Linked DNA regions of Lytechinus pictus. The protein of the gene in region 1 purifies or fractionates together with the protein of each later gene. This does not show direct contact. Links are inferred from orthologs where the notes say so. Each region holds a gene or a part of one and is shown in the gene's direction. Other genes may lie near its edges.

Region 1 (7,046 bases):
GACAAGTTTCATCTCGCGCTTAGGAATAATAGGAAGATAAGCATCATTTTCATTATGATGACAAAATGTCCTTAGAATGTCCCGGCCCTATGTCAAAATGATAATAAAAAATATCAGCTCGTGCTTCGCGCTCGCATGTTTATTAAGTGTGTTTCACATCCACTTCAAAATTTCCCTACACAGTGCTTGAAATAGTTTTTAAATTGACTCTTTTTCAGATCGGAATATCGAATGTTTCCATCTCGCGCTTCGTGCTCGCATTATTAATCTTCATGATAAAAAAATGTATTCAGATCGATGCTCAGATTCTAGGGCTAAATCTAAATCACGCGCACGCATGTTTATTGAGATAGGCAGCTTGTTCTTTATATAAAACGTTCTTAACTTATCAAGTTTCAGAACAGAATATCAATAATTTTCTGCTCGCGCTTCATGCTCGCATTATTAGGAAGATGCCCAACCCTATTCATGATTTACAAAACATGAATAGAGTGTCCCGTTTTCTCAGGTCTAAAATCTGAATCGCACCAATTGTTTAGTTACATACCTATTCCTTTTATGATTACAATTGCTTAGAATGACCTTTTTTAGGTCGGAATATCAAAAATTGTCAGCTCGAGCGTCGCGCTCGCATTATTTAATTGCTGAAATATGTATCGTCTTTGTGGCTAACTGCAAACAGTTCTTATCAGGCCAGAACGGTAATTTAAAATTTCTGCTCGCAGTAATCATTTCACGCATCTTGTTCAAGATCACAAACATGGCCCAGAAGGTTAAATTTGAAGGACAAAATACATGAAAGTTAAAAAAAAAAAATCACTTTTTTATATAGGGCTTATGAGATTATTTCATATTTATGTTGTTTTCAAAGCTAAGAAGCCCGTAAGAAGGAACTGTGACTAAACTACCCCCGAAATTCAAACAAGCAAAAATCCACTTTGAGCGGCCGATCGGGGAAAATATGGGTGAAAATAATATCAGGCCCCACTCCCTAGTGTCGAAAGCTGGATCCGCCCCTGTGACACATACACACAGATGAAAAAAAATGTTCCCCCATTAAAAAGCATGGACCCCTGTGCCCCCCAGGAAAAAAATCCTAGCTACGCCACTGGGTCTATAAAACGTTTAGCTATTTATACACCTCGAGTTGGCTTGAATCTCCATACCTATCATATTAATTTCATTCAACGTTAACTGAATAACACCGAGGCATATAATGGCTATCTATCATACGAATTGAAGAGTTTTTGGAAGTACATGGATTCATTAAAGAAAACTAAAATGATATACCACAGTGGTGCAATTAGTCAAATCTTTTTCTAGCGCCGGACGAAAAATATATTGCCTGTTGACAAGATGATATCGTTTTGTGATAAATTTTGACCTATAATCGAAAAAATAATATTCACTCTTTATCATTTCCCTTTCTCTCTCCTTTTCCTTTTTTTGCTTGGTCGGATCTTTTTTGGGGAAGAACGCACAAAGTCCGCCCCTTATTTATTCTCCAGTAATAGGATATCAGCCGACATCACTACATAGGGTGATAGTCTGGTGGCCCATTTCAAAATAATTAATAATTATTTTTCGTTAATTTCTTGCAGGAGACAGTGTTCGGGGGTGAATTTGCATCCTGCTATAACTCCAAAACCGGGGACCTCATCGGCTCATCGCTAGCATAGATAGTAACTACATCTTCAGCAGAATCGGCTCTCATTCTTGAAAAATCTGATTGAATTTGCATGTGTTTTTACGGTGAAATAAATCAACATTGTGATCCCTTGTTTTCAGGTCTAATCGGGGGTCTAATATATAATTACATAATCACGTACATCTTTGCACTTTGGCTTATTATATAACATACCTTGTAACATACCTTGTTGTGGGCGTAAAGTTTTACCTAAAAAACTTGTTTGCCCCTCTCCTCCTTCCAATTTCTATGATTTCATGAAGTCATTATAGTGGAAGATAAACTGGTACAGGTTATATGGCGATGTGTGGTTTCAGCAGGTAACGTTATTAATGGGAACATGGGCAAGTAAAGGATTGGTCAGGGTTAAACTTTTCCTTTTTGAGGTTCCAAGATTTCTCTAAGTTTGATTTGAAAGAGTTTATGGAAGTACTCTTCACAACTTGATTTGGCAGGTTGTTCCACTCTGATACTACTCGGTGTGAGAAAGAATTTTGTCTTTTTCGAGTATTTGCTCTGGGTTTCTCAATCTTATATATATGTCCTCTAGTTCTGGAGTCTTCATTGAATTTGAAGAATTTAGAAGTCTCTAGATCGTCAGTTCCTTGAGTTATTCGGAATACTTGGACAAGATCTGCTCTGTGACGTCGGTAAGATAATGAAGGTAACTTCAATTGGGCCAATCTTTCCGGGTAGCTTTTGACCTGTAAACTTGGAACTGCTTTTGTAGCTCTTCGTTGAACTCTCTCGAGTTTCTCCTGATCCTTCTTCAAGTATGGATGCCAAATCTGTGAACAATACTCCAAAGCAGGTCGAACTATGGACTTATAAAGTAGTTTGAAGCTCTTAGGTTCAAGGAATGAGAAAGATCTCTTGATGATCCCCATCTTCTTATTTCCTGCTTTTGCTATCTGATCTATGTGTTGAGAAAAACTTAGCTGATCGTCGAAAATGACACCCAAGTCCTTTTCACTGTGGCTGACTTCGATGGTCGGGCCATCCAAACTTAACTTATAGTCATAGTGCAGGTTCTTTCTGCCATAGTGAAGGACTTTACATTTTCCTGTATTGAAGGGAAGTTGCCATAAGATTGCCCAACTTTGAATCCTCAGTAAATCAGCTTGAAGGATTTCCCATTCTTGATCGTTGTTAACTTCAGCAAATAATTTGGTATCGTCAGCAAATAACTTGATAACACTTGCTTGAGAAGCTAGGACATCTGGTAAATCATTTATGAAAATCAGAAATAGCTCCGGACCGATAACACTCCCTTGGGGAATTCCACTACTGACTCTAACAGAATTTGAGAAAACTCCATTAACAACCACCCGTTGCTCTCTGTTCTTTAAGAAGGATCTGATCCAATTCAAGACACTACCTCTGATTCCATATGAATGAAGCTTAAGCAGAAGTCTTCGATGGGGGACGCTATCAAATGCTTTTTTGTAGTCCAAATATATACAGTCAATTGATTTTCCTTTATCCAAATCCTTAGTCCATTCCTCAATAACTTCCAGAAGTTGAGTAGCACATGATTTGCCTTTTCTGAATCCATGTTGATGTGAGCTATACAGCTGGTTTGTAACCATGTGATTAATAATATTTTCACGAATAATCTGCTCCATAACTTTGCCAATTGTACTTGTTAAACTCACTGGTCTATAATTGTTGGGATTACGTTTATCTCCTCTTTTGAATAATGGAGTTACATTCGCCATCTTCCATGCTACAGGAACAGAACCACTCCTCAAGGATTCATTGAAGAGATCGGCAAGAGGTTGGGCTAGTTCATCTGCAAGTTCTTTCAATATCCGATTTGGAATCTCGTCCGGCCCTGGAGACTTAGTTTTGTCCAGCATCAATAATCTTTCCAAAACCATATCTCTTGTAATGACAATATCATTAAGTGTAGAGTCAAAGGGTCTATCAAGAAATGGAGGAAGATTACTGGTATCTTCTTGCGTAAATATTGATGCAAAAAAGTCATTTAACACCTCAGCTTTATCAAAGTCATCATCCACAGTTGTGCCGTCTGGCCGAGTCAACTCTCCAAGACAGGATTTGGATTTTGTCTTCTTATGCCACTATTATGTGCAAAGTTTGGTGAAAATGATATGGATTTCATTTTAACTGTGGAATTTCCTTAATCACTACATGGTACTATCTTAATATACTATGGTAATTAAATGAAGATAAGGGGAATTTACGTTCGGTGTAATCAAGTATACACAGATTTTTATCTGATTTATAAATTCTAGCCAAACACTTCCGGGTGTAGAATGCGTGGTAGAATGAGGGTGATAAGAAATAATTCGTTCACTCTCTCCCGGGATTCTCCATCAATAGCTGAAGGAATTTCCTTAATTTGATTGATCATTAATTATTAGCTGATGGTTTGTTATAGATATGAAGAAATAGTCTGAAATTAATGAAAACTCTATAAGACAATGAAAACTGATGTAGAGTTTCGTCTTGAATATTCATGCAAAGGCCTTTGGTATTTTTGCCAAATAAGGAAAACCACTGGGAGGGCGTCCCTATTTGAAAAGCCCGGATGTACTTATTCTGCCATTTTGGGAGGGTTCACACGGAAGAGAGCGGCGACCGTAACAAAAACAAAGAGTCATAATCTATTTCTGAGAGCCTAAATTCAACAAAAAAGATGGTAAGTGAAGCTTAAACTCCTTGTAATATATTTATCTTATTTATTTCCATGGTTCTTTGTGATTGTATGAAATAACTGTTATTTTGTCGCTGGTTATTTGGAGTCGCTACTGTAAAGTCAGTCCCACACGTTGACAAATTTGTAGGGTGAGGTGAGACTACCGGGTAACATACCTGAGTAAAAAAAAAATGACAGTGACACTTCACAAATTCCCAATTTAAGGAAAAATATTTCATGAAAATATGATTATTATGTATGGCCTGAAAGAGTATATTCTCCCAAATATACTTTGATACCATTATTTATGTTAGGTAGGACCAAAAAAAAACGAAACTAAAAAGTAATCAGTAAAATTAAAACTTTTTCAGATTCAGAAATAGGCCTACTGTCTTTTAATAAAAGACAGTATTTCTGAATCTGATAATAAGATAGTGATACTGCTAATTAACTAGGCCTAAGTGATATATTTGATAATCATTGACAAATGTCATGACAGAAGATCTATTCTAGGACAAAAAAAAAATGAAACAGCATTCATCTGCTATCTCGAAGATGAAATTAGACTAGATTTGAATGCACGTTAATATGCATGTTATGAGAGGAGTGATACTTAAGTCTTAACTCAGTAGAGGCGCACGGCCAATATGGGAGACTCTCCGATAGGGGAGACAATCTCCCATATTGGAGACTTGCTTTGCAAAAGAACAAAAGAAACAACACCAACAAAAGCGTTATTTTTTCCACCCAAAATTTTGTCTCACTTAGGTCAGAAGCACTCACACGTATTGCGAGGTTAGTATTAGTATACTAACCTCGCACCACGAACCGCGTTTGGCAGTGGATTTCTAACTAGTGGGTCGCGCGTGCTGGGATCTCACTTCTTGGGTCCACAACACACGACTTCTATGGCTTGAATTTTCTGTGCGCGGCGGCATGTAATGAACCCTTGGGTGGGTCAGAAGCCCATTTGTTTTGTGTGTGGATGACAACAAAAATCCTTATCAAAACAAAAGTAGACGGTGAATTTTTAAAGTAGACGGTGAAAAGGGGTAATTTTTTCATGAGGAATCTGCCAATCACATTTTTATTTGCCGCCGAGGTAAACCTTTTGCAGCAAATGTAAACAAAGAAAATTGGTCTCCCAAACTGGAGATTGTCTCTGAAATTGGATACCCAAATTATTTACAAAAGTCTCTGATATTGGAGATAATCTCTCTCTTGGGAGACAGTCTCCCATATTGGCGATGCGCCTCTAGTGTAACTCATCATGTTCATTAAGAACACAGATTCTAACGTTATACTAGTAAGTAGGCCTAAAGTGCCCAAATATCGGACACTTAAGTTAAGCATAATTGGACCAAAACAAAAATACAATCATTGAATCAAATAAAAATCATGTTTATATCTGTAGGACAAATGTTGAATATCAATTTCATAAAAAATAGAATCGAAAAAATTATGGTAAACCGAAAAACGGAAATTATTTACTTACTACCAGAGGCTTTTTTTTGCAGAAAATCGGACGCAGTTTCCAAATATCGGACGCGTAGAGTTGTGCGCCGCGATCAATTTGGCGATTTAAATCACACTCTAGACCCCAAAATAATTGCTTAATTGTTGATAAAATAATATATTTTAGCTGTGCAAATGCCGATTTTAATTATTAGGGGAGAGCGGGGTTATTTGGAACGCGGGGTAAGTTGAAGCATTATAATTTTCTTTAACGCCTAAGTTAAATAAATTTATGCAATACTGCCCTCAATTTATTGCTATTATTGACAGCCATCCACCATATTACAGACAACACATGTGCAACAAGCCTGGTGAAGTTAGAAAGGAATTTTTGTTTTTTCACCTTCTGAGTAATTTTTTTCTCTTTCAAAAATTTTGTATTATCTCAGAGAAGTTTATAGGGGCAGGTCCAAGCTATTGTCCCCTCTGAAGCCAAAATTAAATCTTTGCCTAAATATAACATATTGTATGTCCTTTTAAAGCTTATACTCTGAAGTTTTTGTCTCACCTGCATAGCAGAGTGAGACTATAGGCGCCGCTTTTCCGACGGCGACGGCGGCGGCGGCGTCAACACCAAATCTTAACCTGAGGTTAAGTTTTTGAAATGACAGCATAACTTAGAAAGTATATGGACCTAGTTCATGAAACTTGGCCATAAGGTTAATCAAGTATTACTGAACATCCTGCCTGAGTTTCATGTCACATGACCAAGGTCAAAGGTCATTTAGGGTCAATGAACTTAGACCATGTTGGGGGAATCAACATCAAAATCTTAACCTAAGGTTAAGTTTTTGAAATGTCATCATAACTTAGAAAATATATGGACCTAGTTCATGAAACTTATACATAAGGTTAATCAAGTATCACTGAACATCCTGCATGAGTTTCACGTCACATGACCAAGGTCAAAGGTCATTTAGGGTCAATGAACTTTGGCCAAATTGGGGGTATCTGTTGAATTACCATCATAACTTTGAAAGTTTATGGATCTGATTCATGAAACTTGGACATAATAGTAATCAAGTATTACTGAACATCCTGTGCAAGTTTCAGGTCACATGATCAAGGTCAAAGGTCATTTAGGGTCAATGAACTTTGGCCAAATTGGGGTATTTGTTGAATTACAGCCATAAATTTGAAAGTGTGTTGGTCTAGTTCATAAAACTTGGACATAAGAGTAAT
Region 2 (7,244 bases), on another chromosome or scaffold:
TCTCGACAGGCTTGCCTTCTTCTTCCATACACTGATGATAATGATGATGATGATGATTAACAAGGATATATACCCGGGGATATATATCACTGCAAGTATGAGTATAAAAGTAATGAAAGCCAGTATATTATATGATTTCCGATGATATATATCACTGCAAATCAGACGAGTATAAAAACAATGAAAGCCAGTATATAATATGATACACAAGGATATCACTGCAATGAGTATGAAATTATACTCAATAAATTTATACATAATGAAACCCAGTGTATTATATGAATAAGTACATGATATCTGTATCACTGCAAATCAAATGAGTATAAAGGTAATGAAAGCCAGAAGGTAACTTGTGACCAGCCACTCAAAACCAACAATTAGTTGCCCCAAATCAATCTTGGGATTTCTTTTTAATTAGCTTGAAAGAACATATCCTAAACTTTAAAATGATAAATAATTTGTTAAAATTGATCAACAATGACCCTCACAAGTGCTTGTTTGAATACAAAAGAAGTTAAACTTGATCTTAAAGCAGCCGATTTAAAAAATTCTCTAACCAAGATGAAACATGTGTACAAGTGCATGTATTAGAACTAATAAACCCTGAAAACAACCATTATTGAGAATGAAAAGCTAAAACTACAAGGCAATTAACCCGATTTTGTAAATAGGCGTCTTATAGACGCCTAAATGGTACACATAAGTGTATGGGATGAAATTAAGATGGTGTTTTCGGTCACTTTATATTTCAATTTTTGAAGCACTAAATAATTATTTTCGAACGCAATTTTTTCTGGGCTTCATTTTTGTAACATATCACAGACACAGGTGACAAGTGTGACCTTCTAGCTCAGATTTTTAAAAAGTCAAACCAATGTGCATACTGTGAATTCTCGGTTAAAATTCCAAGCAGTACACAAAAGAGGTTAAAAAAAAGATCATGTATCTTGTTTTTTTTATATTCCACTTTACAACTTCGAATTTTGGTAGTAAAAAGAAGAAGAACTACCCTTTCAGATAAGCAAGTTTGCTAATTTTTTCTTTTGAAGACTAGATTACTATTTTGGCTATTTGATACAGAGCCTTCCCTGCAACTTGTTGGTCTTGGGGTGGCTGCTTACATATGGGGCAGGGATACATATCACTGTAAATCTAATGAGTATAAAAGTGATGAAAGCCAAAAAGCACTGCAGATGAATGGACTATGAAAGCATCTAAATGGGCCCTCTAACAGAAGCAGTAAAATCTTGAGTAGCATTTTTAGCATTTTGCTGGCGAATTATCAATGCATAAAATAACTTGTTATTTGTTGCAGTAAAACATGGCTACTTGGAAGCAACGTTGGGATGTCGGTCGTGTCGTGTGCGAAAGAAAGCGACCAAGTGCAGCATTTTGCTCATCTCTCGTCTGAAAATAACCCATTTCAAGTTCAAATTATGTTGGTTCTGCTACAAATTTGTTTTTAATGGAGAAGGAAACATGTGTTGTCTCAAGATACAAATTTTTTCTAGACCCCAGCCAACAATTTGTGATAAGTTATGCATAGAATATATTATTTATACATATAATATATACATATAATATATCATAGGTATCCTCTTCATACAACATGTGTGCACATGTGGATCTAAATATTTGCAGTTTTCAATATTGACTTGAAAATTGGTCAGAGAAGATTTTATCAGGAAGATATGGTCCAGGCGTGGATCCAGGGGGGGGGGCACGTGCCCCCCATTTGAGAAGAAAAATTAAAATTTGTAATGTAAAAATGCCATTGAAGCGGAGATGTGCCCCCCCCCCCCCCTTTTGAAAGTGAAGACCTTTTTTTTTTCTTTTTGCTTGTCAAATTTTTTCAGGTACAAAATATCCTTAATTTGTGGTTGAAAACCATTTTTTTTTTTTGGGGGGTGGGGGCTTGTCAAAATTTTCCTCCAAAAAATTTCCCCCCCCCCTTTTGGAAAATCCTGGATCCGCCCCTGATATGATCCCCTGCCCCCAGAGAATCATTGGTTTCTTATTTATCTTCATTATGGGCCTCTGACCCTACCCCACCGAGTTATGTTCATGATTGCCCAATACTAAATGAGATTGATAAAAATAGGATAAACTAAATTGTATTATTTGTAGAAGCGTTTATGATCCGGCATGGCAGCCAAGCATATTTTCTTCCCAAGATTTCATTCAAAATTGCACTGTGCTTTAATAAATAGTTTCCAAGCTGGAATTGTGACTTCTTTAAGATATTACCCTTCCCTTTTGAAATGAGACCCCTCCCTCTGTTTTTCTTTACTCCACCCCACATGAATCTTCCAAAAGTCGAGTGATTAGCTAAATAATTTGTATACTATCAGTACTTGACCCTTCTTGATAATGGAATTTGTTTATGAGAATTTGTCAGTCACTGATACTTTTTGTAAGTTGCAATTGATTATTATTTGTAAACAGGATTCCTGATCTTTCTATCAGCAAGTAATGTAAACATATACTGTCATTTTGTAAAACATATATACATGTATATACTGCATGTTTATTTGGAAAGTTCTGTAAGAAAAACATTGTTTTGGTATTTTATTGTTAATGTCAAACATATTTGTCTGTTTCATTTGTGGTATATGTATGTATTAGTTTCTTGCCAATCCTGTGCAGTTATATATTTGAGCACATAAAGTGATGTTCTAGACCTTAATTCTCTCACATTTTCTAACATTCATTTTAACTTAGAATGTTGTTTTATTATTTTTTTTCATCCATGTACCCCCGCATGTACCTCCCTTCGAAGTAAATTGATGCAGAAGTAAGAGTATTTTATTATTTTAGCAAAATGAAAGTATGGTTGCTTTGATAAATTTTTAATAGGAAAATATTAGAAGTCTTCTTTGATTTTTTTTAATTAAAAAAAATCAACATGTTATGACAAGCACAGCATGTGATATCTTTCTTATTTTTTGAATGAATTTGATATAACATCAATTTCCCAAAGTAGGGGTAAGTTTTATGATTATTTCACCTTTAGGTCCTTTTAATTTACTGATATTTTGAGTTTTACGTGAAATTATGAAATAATTTTTGCATCATTGGATAGCCTTCGACGTACTCTTTAATGTTTGAAATAAAAAACATTGTTAAATTACCCATAAGTCCTTTCTTGGAGGACACTGACGATAATTTCTGGGCATTGCTAAAAAGTTTTTGGGCTCTATCTTGATTATTATTTACATTCAAACATGCATTTAGGATATTCATCATATATTTTTCATTGAAATCTAGATATTTGAAGAGTTTCTCTGAGGTATTATTCAATTTGTATTGCAGAGAAAATAATAAAATTGTACTTATTTGGTATGAAATCACCTAGTGAAGTCTGTCATAATTATGTCCATAAATGATGTTATACTGATATTAATGATTGAAAAATGATGATATGAAATTTATTGACAAAGAAGGAGGAGGAGGAAGAAGAAAAAGATGATGGTGATGCTGTGATGATGAAGATGATTATTTTGATATTGATATCATTTTTATTGTGAAAATAATAAATGATGATGATGATGATAATTGTGATAATAATGATGATGATAATGATAATAAATAATGATAATAATAACAACAACAACAGTAATAATAATCTTAGTAATAATAACAATAAAGATTGTTTAAAGTCGGTGATCAACACAGCTCATAAACAAACAATTGAAATATCATTATTTGGAAAAACAAATTTAAAATATGATTGTAGGTCTACATTATTATCTGGGCCTGTTTTTTTTTTAAAGAATACCAGGGAAGCAAGAAATCATAATGATGATGATGATGATGATGGTGATGATGATGATGATGATGATGATGATGGTGATTATGATGATGATGGTGATGATGATGTGATAATGATGATGATGGTGATGATGAGGATGATGATGATGGTGATAATGATGATGATGGTGATGAAGATGATGATGGTGATAATGATGGTGATGATGATGTGCTAATGATGATGATGATGATGGTGGTGGTGATGATGATGATGATGTTAATGAGTATGATGAAATGATATATAAATTAAAAAACAATACGGAAACCGTCACGTATGTTGGCTTTTGTTTGGGCAAATCTCGCCACATGATGGCGCTAAACGCATTACAACTGGCAGCCATTATTACGTACAATATCAATGACAATCTTTAATCTCAGTAAGTTGAAGTTTAAAACGATATTTCTCAAACTTAGTGCTTTAGAATTCAGTGTTTGTGATATTTTATGATTCTAAGAATAATAATTTTATTGTTGAGCTCTCTTGTGTGTGATATTATTATTGGATGGGTTCGTTATTTTGTTCTGATTTTGATGTGTCGCGTAGGTTCTTTACAATGCAATTCTCTAAAATGTAGTCCCATACGTTGCAATTTGTGTGAGTAAAAAGTAAATGCGTACGTGCGTGCCTGTATTGAACTCTGTCTTTACAGATTAAATATCGATTTAAATGTTTCTAATCAACCTACAGATCTCAGGTAGATGTTATTTTTCAAAGTTGAATTCCATATGACTGGAAGTTGGGGCATTAGAGTTGTAGATCTGGATCCAAAATCAGCAATCACGTTGACTTATGAACGACTTGTTTGAATTTGAGTTGACTTTCGACTGCAATTTTAACTTTTTAAAGTTTGTCGGAGTTGTCAAATATTTATGGTTGGACGTACCCCTTATCGACCACCTAATTTTCTTCTAAGAATCTTAATCACAAAGATTTTAGACTCTAGATCTAATTGGTTTAAGCTAGTTTCCATCTCAAGTCATGTGCAGAAAATGGAGCGGATCAAAATTCCTTTTTTTTAGAAATAAAAAATAGATAGATTGCTTTGCTCTGACTGACAGTAGAGGTGCACGGCCAATATGGGAGACTCTCTCCCAATAGGGGAGACAATCTCCCACATTGGAGACTTGCTTTGCAAAAGGACAAAAGAAACAACACCAACAAAAGCATGATTTTTTCCACCCAAAATTTTGTCTCACTGAGGTCAGAAGCCCATTTGTTTTGTGTGTGATTGACAACAAAAATCCTTATCAAAACAAAAGTAGACGGTGAAAAGGGGTAATTTTTCATGAGGAATCTGCTTATCACATTTTTATTTGCCGCCAAGGTAATCCTTTTGCAGCAAATGTAAACAAAGGAAATTGGTCTCCAAAACTGGAGACTGTCTCTGAAATTGGATACCCAAATTCTTTACAAAAGTCTCTGATATTGGAGATAATCTCCCACATTGGAGACAGTCTCCAATATTGGCCGTGCGCCTCTACTGACTGAGATTCTATTCACGTAGCCGTCATGGCCGTAGATGTCAGTGACCAACGAACATGAAGATTTCAAATTTCCATCCTTCTTTAGGACTGACCAGCTGCTATACACTAATGTTAATTTTACAGCCGATTCTTGTCAGTTTGTCACGGTGGCAAAACATATTGACTTGCGAATCAGTTCGATGTCACCTTCTCCTTCCTCTGCTAGTCATGCTAGTCCTGGAGATCTACAGCTTTTTAAAATTTTATCCCTCTTTTTTTCCGTAAAATCGGTTTTTATCATTACTATGGATGCTGCGCCTAGTTTCCTGTGCGTAGCGTTTGTATGCAATTTAATCTAAATGCGCGCAAGTGCCAAAGGTGATCAGTTTCAAAAGAGGTGGTCGATGAGTGGTGGAATCACTGTACAGGTAGCCGTGGGGACCTTGCCGGTCGTCAAAATCACCGAGCACAAAATTTCATGGCTTTAAACCTGAGATCATAGAAAAACCAATGATTAGAATATATGAAAAATATGATGATTGGGCAGTCCTTCACGTTTATAAATTCATGGAGCCCAATAAATCGCTCTCCTTATTTTTTCGAGGAGCTCAGTTGAGCTCCTCAGAATCGCTCTCCTATAGGAGCTCAATTTAATACAATACATGCATGCTAAATTGCAGATTTTTTTTAAAATTGTAAATGCAATAGCTGTGTAGCTATTAATTAAACTGTGGTGAAACTAGGCCTGGGTTTACAAAATATCGCGCTCCTTAAAAAAAAAACCTAACAAAAAATTGCTGAAATTTCGGATTTTACATCTTTAAATCCATGAAATGGCCATCTGTTTTCCATAATTCCTTGAAATTATTTTGATTTAGTTGAAAGTGAAGAATATTCAGCTCTTTATTGACTCGGATTGACGATGTTACAATCGGTAAATATTGTAGTCCCACATGTAGACTTCCGTGGTGTTGCAACATTAAAGGACAAGTCCACCCAAACAAAAAGTTTATTTGAATGAAAAGAGAAAAATAGGTGGTGGTGGTGATTTTTTACCTGATTGCTAAGAAAGCATGAATGCTTGTAAGCCAACAAGTATAACACTGAAAATTTCATCAAAATCGGATTTAAAATAAGAAAGTTATGACATTTTAAAGTTTCGCTTAATTTCACAAAACAGTATATGCACATCCTGTTCGGTATGCAAATAAGGAGACTGATGACGTCATCCACTCACTATTTCTTTTGTATTTTATTATATGAAAATCTAATTTTCTTCTCATTGTCAAGTAAAACAACAATTAATTCCTCCCTAAACATGTGGAATTAGCATTGTTTAATATTATATGATTCAGTCAAGTTGGTCCTTATTGTCAAATCTGTAAAAAATGAAATATTGTATAATTCTAACAATAACAAACAAAAGAAATAGTGAGTGAGGGACATCATCGACTGTCTCATTTGCTTGTCACTGAGTTGTGCATAATTAACATTTTTCTGAGGTGGACTTGACCTTTAACTGAAAACGATCGTTGATTGTTATACACTTGGTCAAAACCATGAAAATCTACACATGGGACTACAATATTTACCGAGTTTAACATCATAAATCAGAGTCAGGAAAGAGGTGAATATTCTTCATTTTTTGGGTAATTTCCAACTAAATCAAAATAATTTTAAGGAATTATGGAAAATAGAATCTATGCCTATTTTATGAATATAAAGATGTAAAATGTGAAATTTCAGCAACCTTTTTTTTTTTTAAGGAGCGCGATATTTTGTTCTCCTTATTTTATTTAGGAGCGCCGGCGCGATTGCGCTCCTAAAAAAATGAAGGTCTGATTGGGATTCCTTTTGCCTAAACAGACTGACCCCAAAATCGTTCAAAAGAGCATCAGTTTTCGTATTTTGTCCGAATCACCATGGTTTAGGTAAAATGAAAGAAAGATCTATGAATATTTATTTCATGA

The links. Proteins that work in one complex are often made in the same cells at the same time.
Region 2: the proteins of F-actin-capping protein subunit beta-like (region 1) and CCR4-NOT transcription complex subunit 2-like purify together in Homo sapiens (co-immunoprecipitation; 4 studies listed by BioGRID and IntAct, with this or other methods). This does not show direct contact. The link is inferred for Lytechinus pictus from reciprocal best matches to the Homo sapiens genes CAPZB and CNOT2.

What each region holds. Positions count from the first base shown.
Region 1 is NC_087258.1:11,166,419-11,173,464, reverse strand, and holds the start of F-actin-capping protein subunit beta-like, read left to right. Parts: upstream 1-3,961; 5' UTR 3,962-4,349; coding exon 4,350-4,352; intron 4,353-7,046. UniProt on the Homo sapiens protein: F-actin-capping proteins bind in a Ca(2+)-independent manner to the fast growing ends of actin filaments (barbed end) thereby blocking the exchange of subunits at these ends.
Region 2 is NC_087263.1:5,245,290-5,252,533, reverse strand, and holds the start of CCR4-NOT transcription complex subunit 2-like, read left to right. Parts: upstream 1-4,137; 5' UTR 4,138-4,168; coding exon 4,169-4,187; intron 4,188-7,244. UniProt on the Homo sapiens protein: Component of the CCR4-NOT complex which is one of the major cellular mRNA deadenylases and is linked to various cellular processes including bulk mRNA degradation, miRNA-mediated repression, translational repression during translational initiation and general transcription regulation.